2 linked regions of the Notamacropus eugenii genome follow. The main gene of each other region encodes a partner of the protein of the gene in region 2 in a complex. Links are inferred from orthologs where the notes say so. Each region holds a gene or a part of one and is shown on either strand. Other genes may lie near its edges. The genes, in order: POLA2 and POLA1.

Region 1 (15,299 bases), on a different chromosome or scaffold from region 2:
TGCTCCCTTGGTGGCTAAGTGGAATGATCTCCTCGTAAGCTGGCCTGGAGCTGCCGTTTCCAGGAAATGTCCCAGCTCCATGTAACTTGAGTGAGGGAAAAGAAGTAGGTTATGTAACATGAGAGGTGCTGATTAAGTTCCTTTAAAAACATATAAAAACAACTCCTAATCCTTTGGCCATTTTAGAAAAAAGACAAGCTGGATAAATCCTATTGAACCAGCTGGCAGGCTGCTATCAGCAGTTTCTTATCTAGGAAGCAAGCCCTTGAAAACAAGCCCTTGAAAACAGGGTGGAAACCAAATTTCCTCAATGACTCTAAGATACAGTAATTTTCCACAAAGAGAGGAAGAGCCAAGAGGATGCAAGGTGAGCAGGAAGGCTGAGCAATCATTGGTACAAAACCTTGGTTTTTCACACAATCGTCCCTGTTCTTGGGGTAACTAAGACCGTCTGGGCCTCCAAAGCACCGAGTCTGGCCCCATACCTTGGAGAGAAGCTGGATGGGGAGAAGAGCAGGTGAGGACTGCGAGCAGCTGATACATTCCGCTTGGACTGGGGAGTCTCAGGGGTGCTGACACTGCGCTTCTGAGAACCCTGCAAGCAGATCAGCCCATCAAGGGCCAGGCAACGTTAAGTCCAAGCTGGTGAACGAGGAAGGGCAAAGTCTCAAGAAGGGAAGATCCACTGATGACCAGGGAAGACCGTTAGTTCTGGAGGCCCAAACTTGCTGTCTCAGAGAAGCCTGTCCCAAGTGAGAACCCAAACCCCCATTTCCAACACCCCACTTCAAGTTTCCTCTAAAGCCCCATTGTGACAGCTCACCATCAGGGGCTATGTAAGGTGGCAGGTTTTACTAAGCTGCCATGCTATAACAATGTGAGACAGGGATGGAGCCTGTGTCTACAGGATGAAGGTCAGTCTAGTTAAACTTATAGATGTCCCATAGTAAGTTAGCTTCTGTCCTGAAAGCCACCTATAAGCCATGGGGCATTGAAATCTGACATAGCAGGGAATATCCACACCTCTATAAAGCCACAAACCCTGGGAGTCTCAAAAAAGGTCCAAGGCAGGAACATCTCTCCTGTTGACTCTTGGCCGATCAGAAGGCCTCCTTCTCTGTACTTTACACAACAACCTTCAGTTCTGCAACACAAGCTATCTTGACCTGCGGATATTTCTCTGAGATGGGCTAGGGCCAAGTCACCAGTCATTCTAAGAAGTTTAATTAGTTAGTTTTTCTCAAACTAGAAAAAAAATAGAATGACTCTGGGCAGGTAACATGTCTGAACTCCGGCCACTTTCTAAGGTACAGTTGCCAGAGAATTTGGTATTTTACTCTTTAATCAAAGTCCTAGGATGAACCTTGTGTGGTGAGGAAAACTGGCAGGTTCTGGAATGCTGGGAATTCACTTTCTCTAACTTAGTTTGTCAGACTCTAGACAAGAGGAAAACACTGGGCTCCGCTTTCCCTGGGGAAGGCCAGGGAATAACTTGGCTGCAGGAGGGGCAAAAAGTCAATCTCTGCCTGGAAGAGAACCAGAGACAGCCGCCACTGCAGCAGCTCTTGGGCTCCCCCTGGAGGCCCGACGAGGCCAGGCTCATTAGAAAGGAATGCCCTGAACTGTACAGAAAATACATAGCATTTGTCATTTCAAGACTGGTTTCCCCAAATCAAGCGATGGCAATAACACTACTGTTGAGGAGAAGCCTTTCTTGCTCCATGTAAGTGCAGGGGCTTTCCCGCCAGCAATGCTCCCTAAGGTCTCCTGTCTAGAGCTTGTCTGGACACAGTTGGAGGTCTGTTCTCTCTCCCATTAGACTGGGAACTCGTGGAGGGTAGGAAATGTCCTAGGCCTTTCATGGGATTCCTGGAGCTAAGCACAGTGCCTGGTAAAAAGTAGGTACTTAATACATGCTTATTCACTGACGGATCTAGGTGCAGTTTCATATGGTGATGCTTTCCAATGAAGATCTTTTCCCTTCTTTGGTGATACACCAACCTTGAGCTGCAGAGGGACAGGACAAACTCACTCTCACAAATCTGACTCCAGTGGGTCAGCCTCACTTCCTTTACCTGGACAGAACTGATTTCCAGAGAGCTGGCTCAGGAGCTGCATGGACTGATTGGTTCAAATCCTGAGCTTGGGGGAAGTGTCCACTCACCTTGGAGGGCGTGGCGTAAGAGTTCAACAGGGTCTCTTCTTGGGCCTCCACTTCAATCCTGAACATCAGAGTTATGGAAAACCCTGCCCCTCCCCTGCTCCCAGAGGCCAGGGCTTGGGATACATTACCAACACCTTCCCAGCTACCAGAGGGCTTGGCACATGCTGCCAGCACCCTCCCTCCCCTTAGGTCTCTAGCTGGCACCCTCATTCTGACTGGAGAAGGATACAGTTCTTGGATGGAGACGATGTCCCAGGTTCCTGGGTGGCTGCTGTCCTTCTTGGTGGGACCGTGCCTCGCTTTGGCCAACCTTTTGATCAGAAACTGAGGAAGAAAAGGTGGTGACTCAGTGTCAGCCCAAGTCCCAAGGCACCGGCTCCCGTTCAATAAATGATATTAAGTGCTAGGGAAGACACATTGCAGGGCTTACAGTCCAAGAGTGCGATAAGACACGGACAGGGACAATATGAGTTTGGGTACATTTCCTGGAGGGAAATCATGAGATGAAGTTGGAAACGCTGGGAGGCAGGGGGGTGTGGGGAGCCTTGATATCAGTCGAAGTCTCCTGAAGTTTGCTCAGTGGGATCAATGGATCTGCTCTAGATTTCTGAGTTTCTCTGGACTGTGATGGAGCAGGAGGTGGGGGAGACAGAGGCCACACACCTGTCTGGGAGCGACTGTCATTGTCCCAGTGTGTGAGATGAGCGTAAGAGAGCGTAAGAGAGTAAGGAGGAAACCCACAGTGGAGGGACAGACATGCCCACAAGAACCCCAAGATTTCAAATGTGAGAGATGAGGGTAAGGCTGGAGCCAGGGACAGAAGCGATGCCCTCTGAGGGAATGGCCAACAATTCAGAGTTTGGTTTTAATTTGCTAAATCTGAGGGATGGCAGCATTTCCAGGGAAAGCCATTGTGCAGCAGTTAAAAAGATTAGGACTGGAGATGTGACTGCAGGGGAGCTGCAGCTCTGGACATGAGTGCAGGACATAAGCCTGCTGGAAGAAAGGGCTCAGTGACAGAAGAGGCCGAGACAAGACCCAGGGACAGCCCAGGGAGGGGAGGAGTTAGCAAAGAGTCACCACAAGGTGCTTCAGACGCCCAAAGAGAAAAGAGGATCCAATGGGAAGGTTGGCCATCAGTGCAGACAGCCAGGCATCAGCCACCTAAGAGATCCCTGGGGACCGGAGGGCACAGCGTCAGGAGAATGGGGGCCAGGAATGAGTCAAGAAATGACAAAGCGCCCTCTCCTCTCCTCAAAGGATTTGTTCAAGATAAAGCAGAGGTCAGACTACAGAGGCTGAATGGAAGGGTGGAGGAGGGGCAGAGAAAAGGAAGGACATGGGATGGCAGGATCAAAGGAAGACCTGGAGACCAGGGAAGTCCTGGGGGGAGGCCCTGAGGAGGCAGGGGAGCACAGGCCTGTGCATGGATCAGTCCCAGCCCAGAGGACTGAGCTTGGCTCTGGGGGGACCAGAGGAAGCAGGAGCCAGCAGGGGAGGGGATGTCAGCCAGCCGTCCTCTCCAAGTGCTTATCTTTCTCGTTTCCTGTTCTTATTTTTTTACATTAGACAAAATGACATGTAGCTTCTTTGGGGATCAGACCGCAACCCTGATTTCAGGAAATGCCACTGATGTTCTAACCTACACTTTGAACACAGGGTAAGTCAGGATACCAAATTCAAAGAGGTCAGTGCCAGGCTGAGTCCACACACATCCAGTAGAGGACAGGCTTTCTCACCTACTCACTCTACAAGACCTTGTAGAGCAACAAGTCTAAGGGCTGGAAGGTGTGTAGGGATTGAGGTGTCCAAGCCCGAGCCAAGAAAACAACCACAGTGGTTACTGCCCTGGAAATGGGATCACAACCAAAGACAGTTAAAAATGAATGTCACAAGTTATGACCCGCAAGCGTGGTGTCCAAGGACAGATGTAAGAACATACTTTCTCTTCTTTTACAGCGGAGGGCCGTTGCACGTGGGGAATACTGCATGGAATGTCCTATTTTTTCAATGTATTGATCAGTTTTGCTAAGATTTTTGCTTCTTATTTTTCCTTTCTTTTTAAAAAGTTTTTGTTATAAAGGATAGCTCTTTGGGAGTGGGGAATAGGAAGGATATAAGGGGAAATTTAAGTAATATGAAACAAAAGATAATAAAAAAAATCTATTTAAAAAGAAAACTTACAGGCTTTCTCCAAAGCTAGACCCAGAAAAATGTACTGTTCATCAAAGCTTAATATCTAAGGTGACAAAAGGATGGGTTCATGAGGAAGATGTAAACTATGTTCCAACATCTTGTTTGCTCAATGCCAAATTGTATAAAATAACTGACTGCAAAGGGACATGTAACATATTAAAAATTTTTTAAAGGTGTTAAAAAACACAGAGTCGTTCAGTCCAATGATTTCAGGAGCTTTTCTGTGCCAGGGTCCATGTGTCTTGGGATGAAGAAGACGCAGGTTCTGCCTCCAAAGAGAAAACAGCAGAAAAATTCCACATAAACACCAGGGCAAGCCTTGGGGTGTCACCTGAAGTAAAGAAGTGGCTTGAAGGGCCAAGATGCCCCTGGGTACAGCCTTGGGATGATTCCAGCCACAGGCAGATACCATGGACTGGGAGATGTGGGCCAGCAGTTTGCGGGCAGGAAAAGAAGCAGAGAGGGACTGTTCTTGGCCAGTCAAGAAGTGGGAGGGTGAAGGATGAAGGAGAGCGTAAATTTGACCACAGCTGAGTATGAGGTCAGGAGGCACGAGGCTCATGGCCCTAGTGGATGGGAAGGAGATGGAATATGATAGACAGGAGGAGAGAGGGGAGGTAACTGAAGGTCTGATCCACACAACAATACTAGGAGGTAGATATTATCACTCTCATTTTACAGGTGAAGAAACTGAGGCAAACAGGATGAAGCGACTTGTCCAGTGCTCGAGGCCGGACTGGAACTCTGGTCTCTCCCACTCCTTAGGCTGACAGGACTCAGATGTAAAGGAGACTTATTATTTCCAGAACCACAAGTGCTGGGGTCTGCCTCCAGCTCCCAGACCGTGGCTTTGTTCTTACCTCATTTTCAAAGGAGCTGAGGGTCTCCAAGGTGAGATAGACTTTGCCGGTGTTGCTGCTAAAGGCCACGAGCTCGGCCACCAGCTGGTCCTCCGTCTGCCGGTACAAGGGACACAGCTCTGCCACTGCAGGGACACAGGACAAAGCGCACGTCAGTGTGGACGCTCCCCTTTGGCTTTTTCACTTTAGAAAGAGCAAACTTTTTGGGGGAGAGCTGGAGACTCTCCCCATCATCCAGAGTCCTGGCGCTGGGTGGCCGTGCCATCCCTTACAAGAGGGAGGCTGCTTTATTTCTGTTTGGGCCAAGAGTAGAGGGCGGCAAAGGGTGAGGCCAGAGAAGCTCTAGAAGAGCTCTATGAGCAGATGCAGGGAACCAGGAAAGCACAGGGCTACAGCAAGGGGAAGGCAAAGAGCCCCCCAACAGAAGGAGGAGGTCCCTTAGTGGGGGGGGGGGTCTCTCCCTGGAGGGAGACAAGCCAACAAGCATTTATTATGCACCTCCGGTGTCCCAGGACCCCTGAGGGCAGGCTCCACCTTCCATCCCGGAGGATAGTCCCTCCCCCCTTTAGCTGGAGCTTCACATACAGTAAGCACTTAATAAATGCTTCTTTCCTCCATCCTCGGTGTGTACCGGGCGTACAAAGAGCTCAGCTCTAATGGAGGGGATGATGGGGGCTCTGCAATCACTCTCATCCCCCCACAAGTACTTGGGGGCTGGGGAGGGATCGGGGAAGGCTCCCTGCAGAATCTGTTGGTGCCCCAGGAGGGGCGCAGGTCAGGCTGGGGGACGGCTGGGCAAAGGCTCGGCGAGGGAAGATGGGGGGTGGGCATGGCGGGGTGCACTCACGCTTCTCGTAGGCCGCCTCCTCGCAGTCCAGGCCGAACATCTGCAGCTCGGAGGCCAGGCGCTCGGCCGACACGGAGCCGGCGCCCCCGGGCCCCATCCCTCCCGCCCGGCAGGGTTACCGAAACAGACCGAGAAAAAAAAAAACACCCGCCAAACTCCTCCGCTGCGCAGGCGCCGTCCCAGGCGAGGCTGCGTCCAGCCCCTTCCGCCCTGCCCCAGCGCGCGTGCGCCTCACCTACTCTCCCCGGCCCGCGATCCGGCCGGGCGCAGGCGCGCTGGGTGCCGGCGGGAGGTGGGGGTGGGGTGCGCCGTGCGCGTGCGCCGCTAAAAGCCAAACACCTGGCTCGCTCTGCGACCAGTAGCACCTACGGGGCAGGCGCTTCGCGCTTCATCCGGCCCCCTGCCGGAAGCCTTTCCTCGCGCGCCCCCGGGGACGGGCTCCAGCTTGTCCGCCCAGCCCGCTGGAACCTGGCTGTTTCCTTGTGGGTCTCCCTCCCCAGACGGGCCGGCCTTCGCCTCTCCTTGCGGCCCCCACCTGTCGGGGCGCGGCGAGGCCCAGCTGAGGGAGTGCGCGTGCGCGGCGCTCTGCGGCCCTTACAGCCCCGTATATAGTCGTATATACACACGTGTACGGCAGCGGTCTTGGAGCGTGGCCTTGGGAGGCCAGCCCCCACGCACGTGCTTGCTGACTCATCTCCGAGGGCCTTTCCAGGTCTCCGGCTCTGGCCAGCACATCCGTTGTCGCTTTGTGTAGCGACCCCTCTCTAAAGCAGCCGGCACTGCCTGACAGACCCGGGGTCTCGGGGGCCGTGGCAGAGGGCTGGGCAGCTGGAAGTGCCCAGCGCAGCCGCAGGGCCCTCAGGCGCCATGCTCGGCACGGGGAGGCTGAGGGCACAGCCCCCGGGAGCTGGGCCACCGTGCGACAGCCGAGGGGCCTTTGTGCCCGCTCCCCGAAAGGCTTGGGCTCCACAAGTGTCTGGGGGAATGAATGAATGAATGAATGAATGACTCTCGTCCCTCCAACGGGACTGAATCCTGAAGGCACATGCCGGACATTTCTTGAGGGCACCCGAAGCCCCTTTACTGCACATAGAGAGGAGACCATGACTCAGAGTAGTAGCTGATGCCCACGGGTAGACAAGTCAGAATTAGGTCAAATCTGAGGCTTCCTTCCTCCAGGCCCAGCTGTACCACTGTATCCACTGTACCGCCCAACTGCCTATGTCTCCTCCTGTTCTGAGCCAGAAGGACCAGAGCTCGCCTACGGTTAGATGGACCTACAACAGAGGAAGAATCCCCCTCATTTCATCGTAGTGCAGGGGCAAGGCAGTGGGACAGCGCAGTGCTGGGCAAAGAGCCACCAGACAGCGGTGCAGGGGATTTTAATCCTTTTATTAAGTGGGTTTGTTCGTGAAGTTTGGGTTCAGTAAAAAGCCGCATCCAGGAATCTAGAGGGCCACATGTGGCCTTTCGCCTCAGGTTTCCCACACCAGATAGAGACTTACAGCAGCTCTTCTTTTTCCTCACTTATTGTGTTCCTCCTTCATTGCCAAAGAAGACCATGCCATCAGAGAAATGATGACATGACTTGCACTTGACTTTGTTTTGAGTGAGGGAGGGCTGTGCAAGGTCACCAGCCTCACTTCTCCTCCAGTGCCATCTGAATCCAGTGACCACATATTCATCAGGATGACTGGAGATCACCCAGGATGCCCTGGGAGACCTTGGGCCCTTTAGGCCAAGGTCTTTGCAGGTGCTCACTTAGGGTGAGGTAATGCCCATTGATTGAGTAAGCCTTTTTACGAAGTAGCCAGGGATGGCCCCTTTAATGAGACTAAGAAAAAGCAAGACATCAGTCTTGGAGGGAAACAGCAAGGGTTACTATTGATAATCACTGTAACGCCAAGAGAGTCCAGAAGAACCCTTAGGCAGGGGCCCATTGGTGTCCCAGCTTCAGAATGCATTAGGTTTAAAGTTTTGGGAAAGGAAAAGACAGGATAGGACAGGACAGGAAAGGAAAGGAAAGGAAACTAGCCAGTAATATCCAAGTCAACTGGGCACCTTCCTTTGGAGAGGAGAAGGAAGGGGAGGAGGAGGCAGATAGGGGAGAAGGAGGGCACAGAGAGCCTGTGTCTTTTTGTGCCTTTGGAGCACACACTCAGTTCTGGCTTAGCAACCAGGTCAGAGGTTCGAACAATCACCGAATACATGCACATGATCTGAATTGGAAGAGGACCTTTGCATTACACAACATCCCTTACATAAACAGGCTCACCAAACCTTCACTCAGATTACCAATGGGCAGAACATGGTAAGTTTACTCTAAGGGCTCCTCCTGACCATTATGTATATTTGATCTGGGTGGTAATAATGGGGAGTCACTGGAGTTCATTGAGTAGCAGAAAGGCATGGTCTGACTACTGATTTAGGAAAATCAGTTTGGCAGTTGAGTGGAGAATGGACTAGAGTGAGGAAACAGTCAAGATGGGAAGACCAATGAGCAAGCTATTGCAAGTTCAGAAAAGAGGTAACAAGGATCTATACAAGAGTACTTGGTGTGTGCATGGGGAGAAGGTGATGTATCCAAGAGGGTTGTGAAGATGAAAGAGAAGATGGAACAGCAGATTCAGCATGTAGGTGGAGGTCCAGTCAAGTCGGAGATGACTGAGATTGTGAAGCTGAGTGCTTGGGAAGGACAGTGACACCCTCAACAGTAATAGAGAAGTTGGGAAGGAGGGAGGGGAAGGGGAAAGATAATGAGTTCTGTTTTAGACATCTTGGGTTTAAGAGACCAATGGGCTAACCAGTTTTCAATATCCAAAAGGCAGTTGGTGATGTAGGACTGAAGCTCAGATGAGAGATTAGGGCTGGATGTATAAATCTGGGAAAACTGCATTGAGATAAAAACTGAACACATGAGAGCTGATAAGATCACCAAGTTAGAGGGAATGGAGGAAAAAGAGAAGACAGCCTAGTACAGACCCTTGGAGTATTCCCACATTTAACCAGACCCAGCAAGGAGACTGAGAAGGAATGGTCATTGGGATGGGAGGAGAACCTGGAAAGAACAGTATGATGGATACCTAGAGAGGAGGGAGTATTTTGGAGGCAATTGACAGTGTCAAATGCTTCTGAGAGGTCAAGAAACATGAGAATTGCTAACAAAAACAACCTAACAACCCTCCCTCCCAATCCCCTCCCAAAACAAAAAACAAACCCTGTTAGATCTAGTATTGAAGGGATCATTGGTAACTTTGGAGAGAGCATTTTCAAGTGAATAATGAGGTCAGAAGACCAAGTTAAGAAAGAGGGTAAGAGGAAAGGAAGTGGTGGCAGCCTTTTTGAGGAATTCAGGTGAAGTCAGTCTGTGAGTCAATAAACATTTATTAAGTGGCTTGTATGTACCAGGCCCTGTGCCAACCACTGGGGATACAAAAAGATGCAAAAGACAGTCCCTACCCTTGAGGAACTCATAATTTACTGAGGGCGACAAGCAGACATATGAACAAGTGGGCTGCCAGCAGTATAAAGAGGAGATGAATAGCATAAGGAAGTTAGTAGGATGAAGAAGAGTTGGGAAAGGCTTCCTACGGAAGGTGAGAAATGGAAGTGGAGACAGCAGTGGAGATTTAGCATGATAACTACGGGGGTGGTCAGATGAAGTGAGTTTTTTTAAAGGATGGAGAAATGGGCATGTTTGTAGACATTAGGGGAGGAACCAGGAGACAGGGAAACTGAAGATTAGAGAATGGGGTTGATACTGAACAACCTGCTGCAGAAGACGAAACAGGATGATATCAAAGGTGCATGTAGAGGGGTTGGCTTTTGCAAAGAGAAGACCCATCTCTTCCCTGAGATAGGAGATAGTAGGAAAAAGTGCCCAACTATTGTGAGATGAGGAGGAGAGGAAGGATGGAGTTTTTTCAATGATTTTTTTTTTTTGGAGAAGTATGCAGCTAGAGGATAGGGAAAGGGATACCATAGTTATTTTCAGGAGTCAAGTTAATAAGCATTTATTAAATGTCTACTGTGTGCCAAGCATTGTACTAAATCTGAGGATACAAAGAAAGACAAATGCCTGCCTGTAATGAGCTCCCAGTCTAATGGGGGAGACAAAATGCAAACAACGATGTAGAAACAATATATATACAGGATAGATTGGAGAATTCTACTTATGGAAGGCACCAGCCTTAAGAGGCAAATGCAAAAGGCTTTTTTGGTAGAAGGTGGGGTTTTAGGTGGAACTTCCTTGAAAGAATAACTTGGGGTTTCATGGTATGAGGACTGCTGAGCCCTTTTCAGGGCTACTCATCCACTTTTAGGATCCATCTGCCACCCAATGGCTCCAAGAAGCTATAGAAGGTACAGTAGACATGCTCCCATTTCAGCATACAGCCTAAACCAGGTGGAGGGTAAGGGAGGGACCTCAAACCCCTAAGTGAGTTGGGGGGTATCTATCCAAAATATGTGATATCTTAGACCAGTGGATCTGGTGGATGAGAACAATTTGTTCCAATGTGCCATGAAGGACACAGCAGCAGGTACTGTGAATCACTTAGAGCTTGGTTAAATATTGAATGTGCCAAGGTCATCCCCTTCATCCTTGAGCCATTGCCAGTTGTCCTGACTTTTGTCTTGCCACTCGACTTTGATGACTCTAGAAGACAGAGTGAGGCTGATGGCTTCATGAAACTCTGCCTCACTTAAGTTGAATTTATGGGTGAGTCAAAAGATATTACCCATACCATTTTACCATTTTTACCTACCTCAAAGTCCTGTGGCAATAGGCAAGTGATGAAGCAGCAAGTATGGATATAGCAGGAACTGTAGACACAATCCTGCAAATAGGTGGCTGAGACAATAGTGTTATTTTCTCACTGAACTAAAGCAGCAGTGGGATTCGGCAGCCCTCTGAGTGTCTGAGTAGCCTTTTAAGGACCTCACTGCTCACCTCCTGGCATGAGGAAGGTCTTAGAAAAAGTGCCCTAAAAATTGTCTGCTTCACCTAACTTAATCCTAGACTGCTTACCCCAGCTGGCAGGGATCACTCCCTGTGGGCGAAACACAAAAAAAATATAAAAACTTTTGGGAAGATGATTCCACTCACCATTGATACGTGGAATGGGTGTACACTTATGGACAACTATGAAATCCAGTAGACTTGAGCTGCTCTTGTTGTGAGAGAGCTTAGCATGTATCATATCCAAATAACCTTGAGTGAAACAAGGCTGGCAAAGGAAAGAAGTCAGAACTGTTTTTCTGGAGTAGCTACAGTGAAGGGAAGCTCTGTGAAGCTGGTGTGTGTTTTGCAATCAAAACCGACCTAGTCAACAAGTGTATATTGCTCCCCCAGGGAGTGAACAACAGGCTCATGACAATATTGGCAGGAAATCGTCATGGCACCATCACTGGCATGTGTGTTCCCACCATGAACCCTGATGAAGTCAAAGAAAAAATTCATGAAGACCCGGAGACCCTCATATCATCATTGTGACAAAAGAGGACAAGTTTGTAATTCTGGGTGATTTTAATGCTAGAGTAGGCACAGACTATCAGACATGGCATGGAGTCCTTGGGAGGAATGGAGTTGGAAACAGCTCCATGAGCAAACCACAATTTCAGTAGCTCCAAAGAAATGTGAGACACACAAATTTAGACATCTCCACTCCAAATGTTCATTTGGATTATTTGTATCTGATCTGTGGGAGAGGCTTTGGAGGTTGTATTGGTCTTATCAGTCACATAGGACACACTATACCTTGACCCTGACATCATGATGCCATTTTGGTTCTTTATGAGCACCAAGGACAACAACCACTACTTGAAGGAAGCCGGGTTTAAATGTATAGGATAAATTTATAATGGATTCTGATTTGTAAGCCTACGAGCCATTCTTCAATAGGCAAATGATAAAAGGATATGAACCAAATGAAGTTTTCAGAGGAAGAAATTTAAGGGATTAATAGGCATTCATTCATTCATTTATATTTCAGACCACTGATCATCAGAGAAATGCAACTTAAAATAATTCTGAGGTTCTTCCTTATGCCTCCCAAACCAGCAAGGACAACAACATAGAAAGATGACCGTGTTGGAGGAATTGTGGGAAAAGAGCAATAAGAATATTGCTGGTGGAACTATGAATGGCTCGTGCCTTCCTGGAAAGCCGTTTGGAACCATGTTGACAAAACTTGCTAAACTGTGCCTACCTTTTGACCCAGGAAAACCTCAATCATGGCTTTTCTGTTCAAACATTTTGAGAAGAGCTTTTTTTGTTTTTTTGGTGGTCAAAAGTTGACCACCTTTCCAGGAATGGCTGAACAAATTGTAATATATAAATGTAATGGAATTTTATTTTCCCATAAGAAATAATGAAGTGGGCAGTTTCAGAGGAAACCAGGAAGACCTTGATTTAGGGTAAAAAAAAGCAGAAGTAGGAAAACAATTTATATAATAAAAATGACATTATTGAGAAAAACAGCACCAAAGACTTTGGAACTCTGATCAAGGCAATGATAAACAAAGATTCCAAAAGAATGAAGATCAAACATACAATTTTGCTTCCTGCTAGACAGCTAAGGAATTTAAAATGCAGAAAGATACACACTTTTGGGAATGACCAAGGTGAGGATTTGTTCCAGCTGATTATACGTGTATGTATTCAGGGCTTTATTATTATTTAGGAAAAATTTACCCAATTTGAGGGACAGATTAATAAAAGAAAAAGTTAAACTAATAGAGACAATTGTAAAAAAAATTAGAAAATAAAGTGCAACGTAATGGGAGAAGAGAGGAAACAGGGTATCTCAAACCCAACACGCAGAATTTATTATCTTTACCTCCCTTTCCAAATTCCCTCTTACTGTTTTTTTCTTTTCTAAAAATTTATTTTCTTTTCAGTTCCAAATTCTCTCCCTCCCCCACCCATTGGGAAGGCAAGAAAAATAAAACCCATTAAAATACATATATTCATACAAAACAAAGTTTCTCATTATCTACATTTTATCTGCTGTTATTGGGGCACCATTGTTATAGTATTCCCGCTACATAGTCAATCTGTTCTCTGTCAATAAACATTTATTAAGCACCTACTATATGCCAGGTGCTTGGCTAAGTGCTGTGGACACAAATATAAAAAAAGAATGACAGTCCCTATTTTCAGGTTTATAATCTAATGAAGGAAGATGACACTGAAGAGAAGTGAACAGGGAAAGGAGAGGGAGGGAGGTGCCTGGTGCAGAGGCATGGATGTCCTAAGGGGTGCAGCCAAATGGCTGGCCTGGGAACCCTCCAGAAATGAAAGTTTGGGGATGAGCTTTCAGCTCAGGTTGTTAATCAGAGGGACTCTTGATTTTTTTTCTTGAGTAAAAGGGTCATCCTTTGACTCACTTCTTAAAAAAAGACCTATTCACTGAGAGGGCATTACCTCACTCAAAATGAGGACCTGGAAAGACCTTAGTCTAAAAGGACCAGGGTCTTCCATTGCATCCTGGGCCATCTCCAGTCATTCTGATGAATATCAGGCCATTGGACCCAGATGGCTCTGGAGGAGAAAGTGAAGCTGGTGACTTTCTACAGCCCTCCTTCACTCATATCAAAGTCAATTGCAAGTCATGTTATCATTTTCCTGATGTCATGGTCCTCTTTGAGAATGGACAAACAAGAAGCTCCAGGAACAAAGACTACTGATGAGCTAGGAGTTCCATGGCTGATGAGATCTTGCAAGATGCAGAGGTTCCTGGGGTATGATAGAAAAGTCCAGAGGGGGAGCAACTGCCTGGGAGTTGAGGAGCATGTCTTTTATCTCAAAATATCTCTTGTAAATATTCCCTTCTCTTTACTAATACAGAAACCAACTTCATATACAGCCTGTCTACTTCATGCCTAGACTATTGCAACAGCCTCTGTTTGGTCTCCCTGCCTCAAGTCCCTCTCCACTCCAGTCCATTCCCCATTCAATGATTTTCTTAAAGTCTAGGTCAGACCATGTCTTTCAATAAATTCCAGTCTCTCCTTATTTTCAGCTCCAGGATCAAATACACATTATGAGGTACTGTCCCAATCCTTAGTCCAAGAACAGTACATTTTGTCTACTAGCACTACAAGTAGTGAGTCAAGTAGCTTGGTGATTCTGCTTCTGGAAATCAGAACATAATGTACATAATGGGTACATAATTGGGGCTCTGTCCCAATTCAAATCACAAACATGTATTTGATGACTTTTTTCTGTTGGCTTACTGCAAAAAAAATTCCTAATTGGCTAAGCCAGAACTGACTGTGTATTCCAAAGGCACAAAGAGACAATAGCTCTCTCTGATGTCAGCTTTCAAGTGAGAAGAAAGAAAAGCTTAGAATGCCTTATAGTCCTCATCCCGGCCACCAGGTGGCCATGAATGCATGATCTTCTGTCTTAGTTGTGTTTTTTCTTTCCTGATCATAGGTGAATGGACATTGGACAAAGAAGAAAAATGAGCAATATATGATGAAGCCTGAAAAATCTATGCAATTTATTACATCTTTGTACTGTCTACTTCTGTAAGAGTTGGAGTAGGTTTATCTCCTCATACTTCTACTTTAAATAGTATTTTGTTTTTTCCCCCAATTACATATCAATAAAACTTTTAGCATTCATTTTTACAAGATTTTGAGTTCCAAATTTTCCTCTCTTTCTTCCCTCCCCTCCCCTTCTCAAAATGATAGGCAGTTTGGCATAGTTTATATATGTACTATCATGTAAAGTGTATGTCCATATTCATCACAATTGTGGAGGAAGAAACAGATCAACAGGAAAAAAAAAACATGAGAAAGAATAAAGTAAGTGAAAAAAATATGCTTCATTCTGCATTCGGAGTTTATTAGTTTTTTATCTGAATGTGGATGGCATTTTCCTTTGTAAGTTCTTTGCATTTATCTTGGATCATTGTGTTGCTGAGAAGAGCTGAGACATTCATAGTTGATCATCACGTGATGCTATTGATATTGTGGTCAATGTTTTCCTGGTTCTGCTCATTTCACTTTGCATCAGTTTGTACAAGTCTTTCTAAGCTTTTCTGAAATCTGTCTGGTTAAAATTTCTTATTTAACACTATAATTTTCTACTATATTCATATACAACAGCTTGTTTAGCCATTCCCCGATGGACAGGTTTCCCCTCAATTTCCAATATTTTGCTACCACAAATAGGGATGCTAAAAATATTTTTGCACATGTAGGTCTTTTTCCCTTGTTTATG
Region 2 (16,312 bases):
AAAAGACCATACCTTCATGAGTACGTTCCACAAGAGCGACATTTACCACTTGCATGGTACAAGCAAGAAGGACACAGTGAATTTATACAGGGGATTTCATATGGCCTACCATCATCCACAATCCAGTCATCATCCTGCCGTGCCTGGACCATTCTGGAATACTGGTCTTCATCGACCTCATCATAAACACTTGTGAAGTCTTCTACCTGCCAACATCATAAAAAATCACAGATGAAATTCAGGGCAAGTGAAACATTAAACGGTTCTGCTGAGTGTAGATTTGGAGACACAAAGTGGAACTAGGACTGAAAGGAGTAGCTACAATCAAAAAATTTAGTTCTATCATGCAGTGCCATTACACACAGGATTTTCCTAAAAGTGGATGTTAAAATATGGAGAGGGAATACAGCATAATGGAGCAGTTAACTGGGACAGTGGACAGAGCCCCAGACCTGCAATCAGGAAGACCTGAGTTCAAATCCAGCCTCAGACACTTACGAGCTGTGTGATCCTAAGCAAAGTCACTTAACCCTACTTGCCTGTTTCCTCATCTGTAAAATGAGCTGGAAAAGGACCTTTGCCAAGAAAACCCCACGTGGAATCACAAAGAGTCAGACATGACTGAAACAACCAAATAACAAGAATATGTCATAGGAGATCTGAGCTGATGTTCTGTCTCTGTCTGCTGGCATGACTTCTGACAGGAAATTTCACATTTTTTAGGCTTATTTACTCATCTGTAAAAAAAAAAAAAATGTATTGGCTGAACAGTGCGTGTGTTCATCCTTCATGCCATCAGAGAAATGATGACATGACTTGCATTTGACTTTGTTTTGAGTGAGGGAGGGCTGTGCAGGCCACCAGCCTCCCTTCTCCTCCAGAGCCATCTGAATCCAGTGACCAGATATTCATCAGGATGACTGGAGGTGACCCAGGATGAGGCAATTGGGGTTAAGTGACCTGCCCAAGGTCACACAGCTAGTGAGTGTCAAATGTCTAAGGTGAGATTTGAACACAGATCATCCTGACTCCTGCACTGGTGCTCTATCCACTGCACCACCTAGTACACAGCTTGTTTGAATGCTGTCTTCCCCATAGACTTTGAGCCCCCTGAGAATACGAACTGTCTTTTGCCTTTCTTCGTACCCCCAGAACTTAACCCAGCGCTTGGCACATAGTAGGGGCTTAATAAATGTTTACTGACTGACATCTAATAGTCTAAACTGATTTTACCACCACTGATTTTACACATATATTCTTACTTAATCCTTACAACAGCACTGTTGGTATATACTAATACTTAAGTATTGGTGTCTGTCACAAAGATAAGGAAACAGAGGCCCAGAAAGGTTCCAGGGTCTGACCCAAGGTCACACACGTAGCCATTCACACAGTAAACGTTGTTAGCTCACGTCAACAGCAATTAAATCATCTTCTACACGTAAGAACAAGTGATCTCTAAAGCCCCTTCCAGCTCAAACTACTTATATAATACCCGACAGCTCTATGCGCATAACATGCTTGTCACACTGTCAACTACCCATCTACTTTATCAAAAACAAACCGAATTATAGTCAGCCCTTGATTACATGCTTTGAGGATTTCCAGGCCTGTTTTCCATATTCCCTGTAAGCTTCTGAACTTAGCTCCCTCCTTCAGTGTCAGGTGATGATATGGGAATTACTTTTACTCTTATCCTCCCAAGCCAAATAAGCAGCAAGGTAAAGCAGCTGCCCTTCCCAATTCCCACAACCAGAAAGCCAAGAAACATGTTAGAGAGCCAAACAAAAGTATTTTAGTGATCTTTCTTTAAAACTAAGTTTTATCAATGCTTGTCTTTACATGGGCCATCTCTGGACTCCTCCCCCACTGAAAGGCCCCTCTGCCGTAACAAAGAGACAGCCAAGCAAAAACCAGTGACACGGTGACCACATCTGTCAATGCTTGCGATACAAGACTATATATTCTTTACAAACTGTGCTGGTGCTCCTCCTCCCCACGTCAGCTGCATAATCACCAGGTTCTTTTCTCTGAAGTACCAAAAGTACATTGCCTAAACACTGTACAAAGACTACATGCAAAAGCTAGAAATAAACTATCTCACTTCAGGTTAGACGCAGGACCACCTCACAGTAAGTGTAGTTCTGATTTTTGCATCCTAGGTAATTAGACAATTTGGAAATAGCTTTCTTCTCAAGATTAGAAAATTAAAGCCTATCATCTCTGTACTCCCAAGAGCGGCACTGACAAACTGCACACACATTTTACACCTGTAGCTTCACACACTCCCAAGACGAACAGAGCCTCTTTCAGCACACTGGGCACCAGACTTTAGAAATTTTTAAAAGGAATTACTATGAAAAATCATTAAGTAAAAAAGACTTCATGGAGCAATATGACATTAATGGATTTTAACAAAAATGCACACTTAAAATTGGCAAAAGTACAAACAGTGCAGCAGTCTGTTTCTATAGACTGAATTTAAAATAACTAGAGGAGAACCTGAAATTTAATCCCTATTTCAAAATCAGTTTTAGAAAGAGGGGTAGATTCACTTTTTAAATTTTTACTTTTTAAAAATTAAGTTTAGGACATTTGAGACTCCTCAAAGAAAAGACACATGAATTATCTGCTCTGGCACCAACCTGTGCACAATACACATGTGTGTGAGCAAGTACCCAAAGACCTACACACACTTACATACAAAGTATTCACTAACAGAGAACAGAAAAATATTCTTCAATGCATATAATTCATCCAAAAGGATTTTGGAATAGATGTCTATTAATTATGAAGGAGCCTAACAAAATATGTTCTATGAATGTAATAGAATATTATTATTCTACAAGAAAAGATGAATATGAAGAACTTACAGAAACATGGGAACACCTGTATGAAATGATAGAGTGAAGAAAGCAGAACCAAGAGAAGGATACACACAATGTCCACTATCATGTAAACAACACTAAAAAGCAGTCAGATGCTCATGAATCGTAATGAACAAGCTCAGTCCTAGAGAACGAGTAAGGAAAAACTTTCTTAGTGGAGAGAATTACAGATGTGGAATGTGATATACATGGGCAGCTGCTGTGTCAACTGCCTTAGCTCAGGAAGGAAGATTCAATGGGTGGAGAGACAGTAGGAGGAAGTAACAGTGATGTTTAAAAAAACAATAAAACAAAAAAAAACAAAAAAAAAATAAAACTTTTAAATAAAACGTTAGCTACCTTTTAAGAAACCCAATTGCAATATTTCCCCTGCAAACCATAAAATACTCAATCCTGTGCACATAATGAAAGCTCAATTTTACAAATTAATGACTGATGAGAGGGATACTAAAACACTTCTTCAGCCTGTGAGAGGATTTATATAAGCTAACACTGTACGAACTTGAGGAGAAAACAAGACTGAGTCATGAGAAGTGAATACTTACCTCGTATTTAAGCTTTTCTCCAGCTTTTGCCTTTTTCAGTTTTTCCAGTGCTTCCTGCCTCCCTTTTACTGACTTCTTTTCCCTCCGAGAACGGGAAGCCATCCAACGCCCTGAATCTGATACACCTGAAGGAGAGCAAATTAACATCGTGAGATAGGAGAATTTCGATCTCCAGAGCTCCAAGATATTTTCTGCCCAATATTAACATCCACTTCTTAGAACAGCCCAAAAGTGCATATTCACAAAGAAAATGTAAGCAACTGAAAGGAAAAATTACATGGCAAAATTTGCTTTAAGTCTAATTCTTTTGAAATTCTAATAATGGCCCTAATGTCAGCTTTTTTTAAAAAATTCTAGGCTGAAAAAAACATTTGTTATTTTTCAACGACTAGACTGAGAAATGGATATCAGCCTAAAATTCTAACAAACAAAAACAGAGGCCAGGCCTATATGGCAAAAGATGCTGATTTTTAAAAAGGAGAAGCAGCTCATAATGAGTTCTATTTATCTTATTACTATTTCGATGTCCATTTTCTTCATAAGCATGATACTGACAATAAGGTCATATCCCATATGTGCAGGGTAGCAGTGAATAATGACCAGAGATTAACATATTTTGCCAAGTTATTTAAATATTAAAATATATTCCCAAATACATACTAAACAATGAGAACTGTAGTAACACCCAGGTTTAACTTGGGATGATTTCAGATTATGAGATGAAGTCATCTACATCTCACCCCTAGTGTATATGACATCAGTTAGAAATCTAGTTCCCCTAGAAAACTGTACTCATGCGGTCTATCCTCCTAACACCACTGTCTAAAATTCTACTTGTACCAACACCAGTAAGCTTAGGCACTATTGCGTAAGCCATGGTATAGTCTTCAGAGAGCTACAGATTATCAGAGCAGGAAGGATTCTTACATAGCATCTACCATCGCAACTTCATTTTTACAGGTAAGGAAATCTGAATTCACAGAGGATGGAAGTGAATAATGAGTAGCAAGAAGCAACAGTGAAAAACACCTGGGACCTGCAGTCAACATCACTTGATCATCGATTTACAGCAGGGAGAGGCACCTGGAGACACGTGAGTAAGTTAACATTGGTGATACTGCCAGTCACCAACTTTTCAAACTATGCTTTCCCACCAAAGTCTTCTGTGCTTGTCACTTTGACCATCCCCACACACATATTGTTTCCCCTCTGTAGAATATGAACTTCATGAAAGCAAAAATGGCTTCCTTTTGGTCCCTGTATCTCCAAAGCCTAGCATAGTGTCTGGCACTGAATTGAACTGAATTATCACCCTCCTTTTTTATGTCTGCAATGATTTCCAGTTCTCTTATGGATCATTCAAAATCCTTCATAAAGCTTCTGCAACTCTTTTATCTCCTAAGCCCACCCCAGAACCAATCTAGAATGTCTATTCAAAGTCTACTTTATGCCATGCCTACTTTGGTACTTGTCCAAAGAAATGACATTCACCTGAAACATTTCCTTCCTTCCCACTCCACCTTAAATCCCAAAAGACATCTAGCTCTATCTCCCTTATCACACTCACACGCACACACACACAAAATTTCAAGAAGTTTTCCCAGACTGATCAGAAAATTCTTCTAAATATGCTAAGGACTTAAATGAAAATTCTAAGGTTATTGTCACTGACCTCTACTTCAATTCTGTAGTTAGAAATGCCCCTATCTCTAAAAATGTAACTACTCTTGACTTTACTGTTCATTTATGTGTTGGGAGGACATTTTTATTCTACTGTCAGTTCAAACGTTTGTGCAAGATAATACCAATAATGACTCAAGCCCAAGGTATGGTATAAAGATATTATTGAAGAAATAGAAGACCAGAAAAGGAGATGGTTCTGTTATATGGTGACAATGAAGACTACTGGGCAGACAGCCTAATTGTGTCACTAGTACCTACTAATGTTAAAAGACCTAAAGCAAGCCCTCGAGCACACTAGGTAAACAAACTATGAAGGAATTTTAAGAAGATAGGGGAAAAAATAGCGCAAAATAAGAAAGCACAGATGGTTGCATTCTCTGCCACTGAAGAGAAATGTGCCATCATCCCACAAAAATGAGATCAGGCATCTCAGTGAAACATCAAAAAAATTCCTTGCACATGTGGGCTCCTCTTCTGAAGTCCTCCAACGACTCGTCACAACATGGAGCACATAACATGTCCTGAAGAACCTATCAGTGGAACACAAATGCCACCAGGGCCAATATAATCAAGGACCAATCTAGCTAAGTCCCAGGAAGCTCATCAGTACAAGTTTGGCTACCAAGTTACAAATTTTTCTAAACACAGAAATTCATGAAACCTGTACTACATGTGAAAACTGCAATCTACATTTGCAAGAAATTAGTCACATGGATGAAATCCCTGGTCTTTTGATGTATTAAAGTATGCCTGAGCTGCTATGGACAGATGGATCCTATACCTAGAGTTCTGTCAACGTGTGTGCCTGAGAGGATAAGAACTTGATCTCGCAGCTATGTAACACAATGGGTTTTACATTAGACTTGGAGTCAGGAAGACCTGACCTCAAACACTAATTATCTGTAGGATGCTGGGCAAGTCATTTCACAACTCCGCCTCAGCTTCCACATCAGTAAAATGAGACTAATAACAGCACCTCCCTCCCCAGGGCTGTTGTTGAGGATACTTGTTAAGTGCCTTACAAAACATCAGAGCACTACATAAATGGTAGCTGTTATTATTAGCCATTATTACCTAGTAATTCTCTCACTAGTACACCTAGTACAGCACCAGGAATAATCAGAAGCTTACAGTCAATGCTTTACTATAAACTTTCCTTTACATCTTTCCAGCAAGGTAAAAAAAATCATATCTAGGTAAACAATTGCTTATAAGATTTTCAAGCTATATCTCACTTTCCCTAAGTTCTAGTACCTATGGAAAACAATGGGCCTTGACTCTCCAATTTAAACATAAACAAATAATTCTCCTTCCTCTTTTTAAACACTTTCTTCACACGTATAAATTTTTTTTTAATAGAAAAAAATGGCTGATTCTAGCAATCACAAATGCTGGATTAAAAAGAACCATCTGGGGCACCCCCAAAGAAAAGTCTATAGATAGGCTATAGAAAAAAGCACAATAAATGAATCTTTCAGCATGTTCCAAAGGAAACATTCTAGTCACAAGCCCATCAAAGCAACATAATCACAGCCCATAACTTAAGAGGGGTTTCCAGATTGCACAGCATCACCCAAGCAGTGATTTTTGATGCTCCCTGATGAAGTTCAGTTTTTAAAAGATAAAAGAAGAGCTTAGCAGCAAATCACTGCTTAAGTGACAGGTCAGGATGCACGTTCATCCATTTCCTCTGTAATGCAGTCCTGACAGTTCCCCACACCAACGAGGTCTACCACACTGTCTTAAGGCTTCAGTCTCCACTGTAGCAACTGCTGCAAACTGACATCTGTAATTTACAAGTAGGTGAATGAAACTGAAACTGATTAGAAAGTTTTCATTAGTAAGAAAGTATCCATTTGACAAGAGATGAAGACACTGGGCCAGGAAGGCAAAGGCCCGTCAGTCATCGGATCTTTAGAAGGAAAACAGACTCAAGACTCCTGACAACTCGTATTCACTTGAAAATCCAGTTATTTGGATTAGGGTAATTGTGCAGTTTCCAACTCTATTTTAGGGAATTCAAGATATCCATTCCGGAGTATTTCTCTGATAAAAGAATACTAAAATATGAGCACTAACTTGTAACCACTATTTTTAAGCATATTAGTAAACGACCAGAGGGCAAACATTATTATTACCCCCCTTTCCTTGGATGAATCTGAAAACCATTTTAAAATGCATAAAGTGGAAAACTATCCCCTTAGAAGCCAGAACACACTTTTCCTCGGCATGGCACTTAGGAAATGTATGGGATATACTTGTGCAGAAATAATGACCACCGTCTGGTCCAGATTCAAACGGGATGTTGCTGAGCTGTTCTAGAGACACCACTGGAGTGAAACAGGCAAAAAAATGAAAAAATAAAAGCTCATTTCCTAAGGCGGAGCGCGCAGGCACAACGTGCAGGACACTAGGGGTGCCCCACAGGGACACCCAAAGTTCCAGTTACATCGAGAAAGAAGGTCGAGGAAAAGGAGTGCGGCGGAGAGACCGAAAGGTGCCCGAGAAACAGCTCCTGCCCCAGATTCCTCATCGCTGGGCCTCAGTTTCCTCGTCTGTAAAACCAAGGCACCGGCCTTGAGGATCTCGGGGTCCGGGGGCTGCGGCCTGAGCGGGGGACGCCCAGCGCGGTCGGAGCGGACCCGCCCCCAGCTCCCCCAGGGCAGGATGAGGAAGGAGGAGCCTCGGGGCTCCCGCGTCCCTAGACGCAGGTCTGCCACCTGGTGATGCTGCCACCGACGGCCACCGCGCCCGCACTCTCCGCCGCCCCCTCCCCACTCCCCAGACCTCCAGGCTCCCCCTCCCCCACGAGCGCTCGCCCCGGTCGGGGCCGGAGCCTCTCGGGCCGCCGCCACCCTCCCCGCCCCGGGCCCCCTGGGCCCCGGCCACGCCTCGGTCCTCACCGCTGCTCCCGGGCTCGCGCTCCGCGCCGCGCACCGGCGCCATGGTCCACGGGCTCCGGCTCAGGATTCCGCGCCAACGCGCTGAAACTGGCGCGGGGGCAGAGACACGCGCCGCCCCGCCGGCCAATCAGCGCCCGCCGACGGCGGCCGACTTCCGCCCGGAAGTCCGGGGTCGCCGGGCGTTTCTCGGCCGTGTCCCCGCCCTAGCGCCGCCTCCTCCTCCAGATCCCGGCTTTCGGCGCGCTCCCGAGTCCTTAGACCCGCGGGAAACTCAGACTGGGCCGAGAGCGGAGAAAGAAAGCGGCCGGGCGCTTGAAAGAAGGCCGGCAGGGGGCGCATGCGCAGTTGGTCCAGGGCGGGAGGGAACGAGAACCTGCCTGGAGAGGGCGGCTCTCGGGTTCTAAGACTCGCCTTCCCTGAAACTAGGCGCGGGCGGGCGGAATCCGCGCGCTGGGGGGGCCCTGGCTGCTATGCGGAGGTCTTCACCCTATCGAACACTGAGTGCGACCAGATCCTTTCTTTTATTGTTAGACGGACGGGGTGGTGGTCAGTTCGAGGGCAGCGCCCCGCGCCTGCCCTTCCTCTTTCTGCACTTGGACTTTGTCCTCTCCGCCTGTCTTCTCTCTTGTCCGCAGCATCCCTGCGCCTAGAACGTGCTCCCCGGAGCCAGCCGGGACGATCTACAGGGTCAGCAACGCCCGCGGTGCCCACTGAGCCCACGCGCCTTCATCCACTGAGCCCACGCGCCTTCTTCATCCGCGTGGCCAACGTCCGCGGTGCCCACTGAGCCCACAGGCCTTCATCCACCGAGCCCACGCGCCTTCATCCACGTGGGCAACGTCCGCGGTGCCCACTGAGCCCACAGGCCTTCATCCACTGAGCCCACGGGCCTTCTTCATCCGCGTGGCCAATGTCCGCGGTGCCCACTGAGCCCACGCGCCTTCTTCATCCACGTGGGCAACGTCCGCGGTGCCCACTGAGCCCACAGGCCTTCATCCACTGAGCCCACGCGCCTTCATCCACGTGGGCAACGTCCGCGATGCCCACTGAGCCCACGCACCTTCATCCACGTAGGCAACGTCCATGGTGCCCACTGAGCCCACGGGCCTTCTTCATCCACGTGGCCAACGTCCGCGGTGCCCACTGAGCCCACGGGCCTTCTTCATCCGCGTGGCCAACGTCCATGGTGCCCACTGAGCCCACGGGCCTTCTTCATCCGGGTGGCCAACGTCCGCGGTGCCCACTGAGCCCACGGGCCTTCTTCATCCGCGTGGCCAACGTCCGCGGTGCCCACTGAGCCCAGCGCCTTCATCCACTGAGCCCACAGGCCTTCTTCATCCGCGTGGCCAACGTCCTCGGTGCCCACTGAGCCCACAGGCCTTTGCCCACTGAGCCCACAGGCCTTCATCCACTGAGCCCACGCGCCTTCATCCACGTGGGCAACGTCCATGGTGCCCACTGAGCCCAGCGCCTTCTTCATCCGCGTGGCCAACGTCCGTGGTGCCCACTGAGCCCAGCGCCTTCATCCCCGTGGCCAACGTCCGCGATGCCCGCCGAGCCCCAGCCTCTTTCCCCTTGCCCTGTCTCAAGCCGGTACAGGCCTTAGGACCTGGAAGGAGATTTAGAGATAATCACATCGAACCCTTTGACTGTACAAATAGGAGACTTATTTTTGTGTTCCTAGTCCGCAGCGCAATGCCAGGCACAGACTCTTAACTGTCCTTTTTGTGTCTGACCTGAGCTTCCGCTGGTGTGTAGGGAATGCCTGATGAGCCTCTTGGAGAGCTCCCTGAGTTTAGTCAATCAATCAGTAGACGTTTATTAAGCTCCTAATGTGTGCCGAGGGCCGGATGTACAAAAACAGGCCAAAGACGGTCCCTGCCCCCAAGGCAGTCATAATCTAATGGACAACATGCGAACCTGTAAGGTACATCGGCATGTGAATCCCCATGCTGTTTTGATGTTGGACCTGAGATATAATAAGGATGGTAATAATAGCTAGCACTTAGAGAATGCTTTAAGACTCACAAAGCACTTTACCTATATTATTTCATTTGAACCTCAGCACAGCCTTATAAAGTGTATGTTACTATTTTTCCCACTTTATGGATGACCAAACCAAGGGGCCACCTAACTGATAAGTGTCTGAAGCAGGATTTGAACTCACTTTCCTGACCCAGAGTAGAGTGTTGTATGTTGTAAGTCCCCTTGAGTCACAGAAAGAATTTCCTTATATAAGGAGCTCACATTCTAATGGGAGTAACCACATACATAGGAGATTTCAGATAAGAGTCTGATGGAAAGGTCCCATGATCTTTAGGGAACAAAGCAAATTGTCAAAGATGTTTAAAGTCACTTCCACTAGATGACAAATGTTGGAGAAGATGTGGAAGAGTTGGAACACTAATTTATTGTTGGTGGAGCTGTGAGCTGATCCAACCATTCTGGAGAGCAATTTGGAACTATGCCCAAAGGGCTACAAAAATGTACATACCCTTTGACCCAGCAATACCACTTCTAGGACTCTATCCCAAAGAGATCATAAAATTGAGAAAGGGTCCCATACATACAAATGTATTTATAGCAGCTCTCTTTGTGGTGGCCAAGAACTGGAAATCGAGGGGATGCCCATCAATGGGGAATGGCTGAACAAGTTTTGGTATATGAATGGAATGGAGTATTATTGTGCTATAAGAAATGAGGAGCAAGTGATGCCTGGAAGGACATGTATGAACTGATGCTGAGCGAAATGAGCAGAACCAGGAGAACATTGTACACGGTAATAGCCCCAGTGTGCGAGGACTGTTTCTGATAGACTTAGCCCTTCACAGCAATACAGGAACCTAAAACATTCCCAAAGGACTCTTGAGGCAAAATGCCATCCACATCCAGAAAAAGAACTATGGAATCAGAACACAGAATGAAGCAGACTATTTTCTCTTGTGTTGTGTTTTGTTTTGGTTTGGTTTTTCTCATGATTTCTCCCATTCATTTTAATTCTTCTATACAACATGACTAATGTGAAAATGTGTTTAATAACTGTGTATGTGTAGAACCCATATAAGATTGCATGCCATCTGGGGGGGGGGAGAAAATTTAATGCTTAGGGAAGTGATTGTTGAAAACTGAAAACAAATGAATTTTTAAAAAAATAAAGTCACTTCCACTGATAAAATCATATCCCCATGTCTGATGTTGACCCATTTGACAGTGCCAAGGACTTTGGTAGCAAGAATTTTGTTTTCGAAGTGTTCAGTAGGACAGCCTTCCATCCGTCAAGGCTATAAAAAAGCTCCTTCCAATAGTATTCCAATATTTAAACTTCGGTTATCTACCCATGGCTCTTAGGTGATGATTTAGAATGCCATTTTTCATTCTTGATGGAGAAGAACAGCAGTTCCCTGATAAACTTATCCACATGGCAGATGGTTCTCCCTCACCCCAACAAGGGCAACTGATGCCACCATGGCGACAATATTTTCTTTCTTTGGTACTTCTGCTTAGTCATCACTCATGTGGCTCATAGTTTGGAAAGCTGCCACCCAACTGCCCTGCATGTCTTTCTTCTTTGGAGCTCAGTATGAAAGGAGACAAGGATATTTCTAAATTAGCATGACAGTTTCTGTTTCATAAGCTTATCAAATACAAACTTATTTGTATATTTTGTTTTCTTCTGACTCACAGCAAGAAAAAAACTAACCAAGACATTGAATTTTGTGTCTTTTGTCCAAATCCAGTTTTTTTGTTTCTTGACGACTTGCATTTAACACAGTGCTGATATGTGGTAGATATTTAATAAATGCTAGTTGACCGAATGAGAATATGAATTCTTTTTCTTTTGTCTCAGACTGATTTTCCTAGGAATGAAAAATTAGGAATGAATAAGCAATAAGAAGGACAGCTATATGGTACAGTAGATAGAATGCCAAGCCTGAATTGAGAAAGATATCTTCCTGAGTTCAGATCTGACTGTGGGACCCTGAGCAAGTCACTGAACCTTCTTTGTGTCAGTTTCCTCATCTATAAAATTAGCTGGAGAAGGAAAAGACAAACCATTTCATTGCCTTTGCCAGGAAAACCCCAAATGAGGTAGCAGAAAATTGGATGTGACCAAAACAATAGCTGAACAGCAACATAACTAACAAGAAATCTTGTAGCATGTGAGCTGAATCTTGAAAGAAGTCAGTGATTTTTAAAAGCAAAGGTGAGGAAGGCTTGATATCTACATATGGGGAACAACTTAAGGTCTGACAAAGAATTTTTTTTTATTTTCTTGGTCTTTTTTTTTTTTTACATTGCTTTCCCTTGCCAATGATGCCACCCTAACTTCCCTATGACACCCCTTTCCGAAATGTGTGTGTTTGTCCTGTGTTGCTGAAGACCATGCCATCAGAGAAATAGTGACATGACTTGCACTTGACTTTGTTTTCAGTGAGGGAGGGCTGTGCAGGTCACCAGCCTCACTTCTCCTCCAGAGCCTTCTGGGTGCAGTGACCAGATACTCATCAGGATGACTGGAGATGACCCAGGATGAGACAATTGGAGTTAAGTGACTTCCCCAAAGTCACACAGCTAGTGAGTATCAAGTGTCTGAGGTGAGATTTGACCTCGGGTCCTGACTCCTGCACTGGTGCTCTATCCACTGCACCACCTTACTGCCTGGCTCCCAAATGAAACAGTTCAGCAAAAGATATTAAAACACTGACCCAATGTGAAAATTATATCCATTTGAAAATTACATCTATATGAAAATTATATCCAAAAATATCCATTCCACACCTATGTCTGATAAAAGATATTCCTTTTTCAAAGCCTTTTTAAACTTAAACTTTCTTAAAATTGAGACTGCCCTAGAAAATCTAAGACAAATGGATATGGTAGATACAGTTTTTTTTAAAATGAAAGACTCAGTCTTCCAGGTCAGTAGTACTGGACCAGAGGTCACTGAGTTCAGACACAAAGAGATAATAAAGAAGCTTGAATACTTGTCATCTAAAGCCAGCGAGGAACTTCATACCAGAAAATACACTTTTTTTAACCAGACATGATTTCTGAGTTTCCGTTTTGGAGCTAGGGTCTTGATTTTCCCCAGTTTCTGTGTCCATCATAATGCTTAGATGGCCCAGTTTCTCCATTTGTAGATGTGGTTCCCAGTTCTTCAAAAGTGGTATTTGTTGAGTCTTTGATATGTTTGCTAGTCAACTACATGGGGAGATTTTATAGGATACCTAAACGAATCCGTTTCCAACCACAATTCCTGGAAAAAAATTGCCTGTTAACAGGAATAAAACTCAGTTCTGCTGAAAAGTGCAGTATGAGAGCATCAATACTATTTAATATCCTCTACAAACCCATTGGCTTTTAGGCAGGAGAGTAGGGTAGTTAGCTGAATTTCGAACCCTCTTTTGAACTCCTCTTGAGAACTTAGTTGTAGACCATCTGATTGAGAAACCTATGCAAGTTAATAACATTCTGAAAAAAAAATCACATCCTGGATGATAGCTTGGCCCATGGAATCAGATAATTCATTACATTTTAAAAATTTCCTTTTTTGAACTGATGCAGAGAGAAGTGAGCAGGGCTAGGAGAACATTTTACAGCAATATTGTGGAGATAATCAGCTGTGAAAGACTTAGTAACTAATCAATACAGTGATCCACCACAGTTACAAAGGACTCACAATGAAAAATGTTGTCCACCTCCAGAAGAAGAACTGATGAATTTAGAGTACAGATGGAAGCATATTTTCCCCCTTTCCTTTTCTCATTTTTTTTCAGAATATGATTAATTCAGAGATAGTTTGGTTAACTTCATATGTATAATGGATATTGTATTTCTTGCCTTCTCAATCATAAGGGGAGGAAGTAGAAGGAGGAAGAGAATTCAGAACTAAAAATAAAATTTAATTTTAAAGGGAAATAAATTAAATTTGCTTTTTTATTGTTATGAATTTGACAATCAACAGACATGAACATTTCCAAACACAAAGTAAAACAGAAATGGAGGACTATATATAAAACTCTGAATGTTTTATGTTTATGTTACTGAATACTCTAAATCTAACAGGTTGGTTCCCATACTGCTTTGCTTGTCTGTGTCCACTTTAGAACATCTAATGGGGGTAGAGAACCTGCAGCCTCAAGGCTACATGTGACCTTCTAGGTCCTTGGGTGCAGCCTTTTGAGTCCACATTTTATAGAAGAAATCCTTTTATTAAGAGGATTTGTTCTGTGAAGTTTGGATTCAGTCAAAGGGCCACACTTGGGGACCTAGAGGGCCACATGTGGCCATGAGGCTGCAGGTTCCCCACCCCTGATCTAATTAATTTCTTGTTTTTAGTAACTTAATGACATTATTTCCATTTTTTAGTATCATTTTCACTATTACTACCTCTCCATTTCCTTGCTCCACCTCAACAGTCTCCCCTTCCAAAAACCTTTCTTTGTTACAGTCATGAAAAACAAATTCACACATTGCTATGTCTAAAAATATCTCCTCCTGCTCTTCTGATTCATCACTTCATCACCAGTCTTCTGGAACTGAGATTGATTATTTCATTTATCAGAATTCTGAAGCCTTTTAGCAGTTGTTTTTCTTTGCAATGTTGTAGTCATTGTGTAAATTGCTCTCTCCAATTGTCCAAATTGTTCTCTCTCTGATTCTGTGCCAAGTGGCACGTCTTTGAGAAACAATCTGCTGCCATGAGAATAGTAGTATTCCTCTGTGAAGCAGATGAATCAATTGTAAAATCAAGCCCCACCCAATAATATAGTCAAGGAAGTGCTACCAAAGGCCATAGACACTCTCATGATTTCCATCAAGGTATCTTTATGAACTAGTACTCATCACAACTTTGAACATGCAAGTTGGCCTGTGCTCAACTATTCCACCATTAACAGGAGATTATATTTTTGGTTTTCATTTTCTCTGGATGACTTGCTAACAGGGTTTTATAATAAGCCTTCTTCTTCATAGTGATGTGGAATTATTACCAATCTCGGAAAGTCCACATCCAGAGACTTTTCTGCTTCCTTATTGATGCTACGTATACCTCAGGGAGAGAGAGAAAAAGAGAGGGGAGAGAGAGAAAGACAGAAGGAGAGACAGACAGAGAGAGAGACAGAGAGAGAGGGAGAGAGAGAGAGAGAGAGAGAACCTTGTCAGTGATCAGGAAGGTGAATCCCTCCTTAACAATGTCTTTTATGAAGGGACTAGTGGTTAGCCTGATGCTTACTAAAGGCTTCCCATAATCCCTATTACTCAGTAGGAATTTCTTTCATGGTCACCTCATTTGAGGTGACCCCAACCAAAGCAAAAGCCTGGGGTTGTCCTGGACCTGCTGTCAATTTTGCTTAGAAAACTCCCACCAGCCTGAGTTCCATTTGATACCATAGTTATATTGCCTGGGCTTTAAGAGTCCCAATATCATCTCAGCAAGTGCCAACTCCTACACAGTGTTCCTAGGCATTTCATCCCCAAGTGTTCATGTCTAGGAACTAAGAACTTTTCTAAATTCTATCTCACAAAAGACATTCCTGCCTGATCTTCTGAAAAAGTGTGTCTTAAATGTTAGTTTATGCTGACTTAAAAAAAAAAGATTAGTGTCACCCTTCCCCCAAGCCCCAAACTTTTTGTCATTGTCACTACCATTTGCCCAGTCTCCCACTTTTGAGAACCTGGTGTTGCCTTTTAATTCTTCCTTCTTCCTCACTCCCACTTCCAAACAATAGTCAAGTTCAGTCAATTCTATCTCCACAAAAATCTCAAGTCATCTCAGCTCTGTTTCTACTGGTACCACCTTTGTACAGTGGGCTTGAATTATTGCAATAGAATCCATTTTCATCTCTCTTGCTTCTACGCCCCCCTCTTTGTAAAGAAATTTCCCTTTTGGATCCCACTCAACACTCAGTTTGCATCTTTCTAAAGATTTTACCATGTATCATTTTGTATTAGGGTTATTTACAACTATATATCTCATTCCCAAGCTACAGTACCCATAAGGGTAGGGAACATTTCATATTTAATCTTGATATTTCCTCCAAGCTTTTAGTAGAGTGTTCTGCACTCAGTGGGTACTCCATAAATGTTTGTAGACATTGATAATGGGAAAATTCCATCCACAATGGGATTACAGGATCACAGATTAGAAATTAAAAGAGATCTTTAGAGTTATCTATCCTCCCCTCCCTGCCACAAGCATAAGCAAGGTGGGATTTTTGTTGGTTTCTTTTTTGGAGTTCAGTTTCCCAGGCTCAGGCTAAATTGTGAACATCTGAAGGATTGATCTCCCTTG

The links.
Region 1: the proteins of POLA1 (region 2) and POLA2 are in contact, whole or in part, in a cryo-EM structure (PDB 8G99), measured with the Xenopus laevis proteins. The link is inferred for Notamacropus eugenii from reciprocal best matches to the Homo sapiens genes POLA1 and POLA2. Residues at the interface, in NP_001082055.1 of Xenopus laevis: Gln548, Lys551, His553, Gln554, Asn555, Phe642, Glu645, Val646, Gln649, Asn652, Leu673, Gly675, Arg676, Phe679, Lys1137, Asp1141, Pro1143, Asp1144, Ile1321, Gln1322, His1324, Asn1325, Lys1326, Leu1328, Leu1329, Arg1332, Ile1335, Lys1336, Tyr1338, Tyr1339; in XP_018112289.1 of Xenopus laevis: Met280, Tyr281, Lys282, Phe283, Met284, Phe285, Gln286, Lys287, Leu288, Met289, Ile291, Arg292, Val295, Ser296, Ile299, Glu314, Thr316, Leu320, Pro321, Gln323, Glu324, Thr325, Val326, Gln331, Gly333, Cys334, Asp335, Ser336, Asn337, Gly338.

What each region holds. Positions count from the first base shown.
Region 1 is NC_092873.1:18,070,075-18,085,373, reverse strand, and holds the start of POLA2 (DNA polymerase alpha subunit B), read right to left. Parts: upstream 6,288-15,299; 5' UTR 6,165-6,287; coding exon 6,068-6,164; intron 5,346-6,067; coding exon 5,221-5,345; intron 2,489-5,220; coding exon 2,394-2,488; intron 2,223-2,393; coding exon 2,165-2,222; intron 596-2,164; coding exon 486-595; intron 1-485. UniProt on the Homo sapiens protein: Accessory subunit of the DNA polymerase alpha complex (also known as the alpha DNA polymerase-primase complex) which plays an essential role in the initiation of DNA synthesis.
Region 2 is NC_092876.1:452,196,250-452,212,561, forward strand, and holds the start of POLA1 (DNA polymerase alpha catalytic subunit), read right to left. Parts: upstream 8,208-16,312; 5' UTR 8,063-8,207; coding exon 8,020-8,062; intron 3,559-8,019; coding exon 3,434-3,558; intron 207-3,433; coding exon 110-206; intron 1-109. UniProt on the Homo sapiens protein: Catalytic subunit of the DNA polymerase alpha complex (also known as the alpha DNA polymerase-primase complex) which plays an essential role in the initiation of DNA synthesis.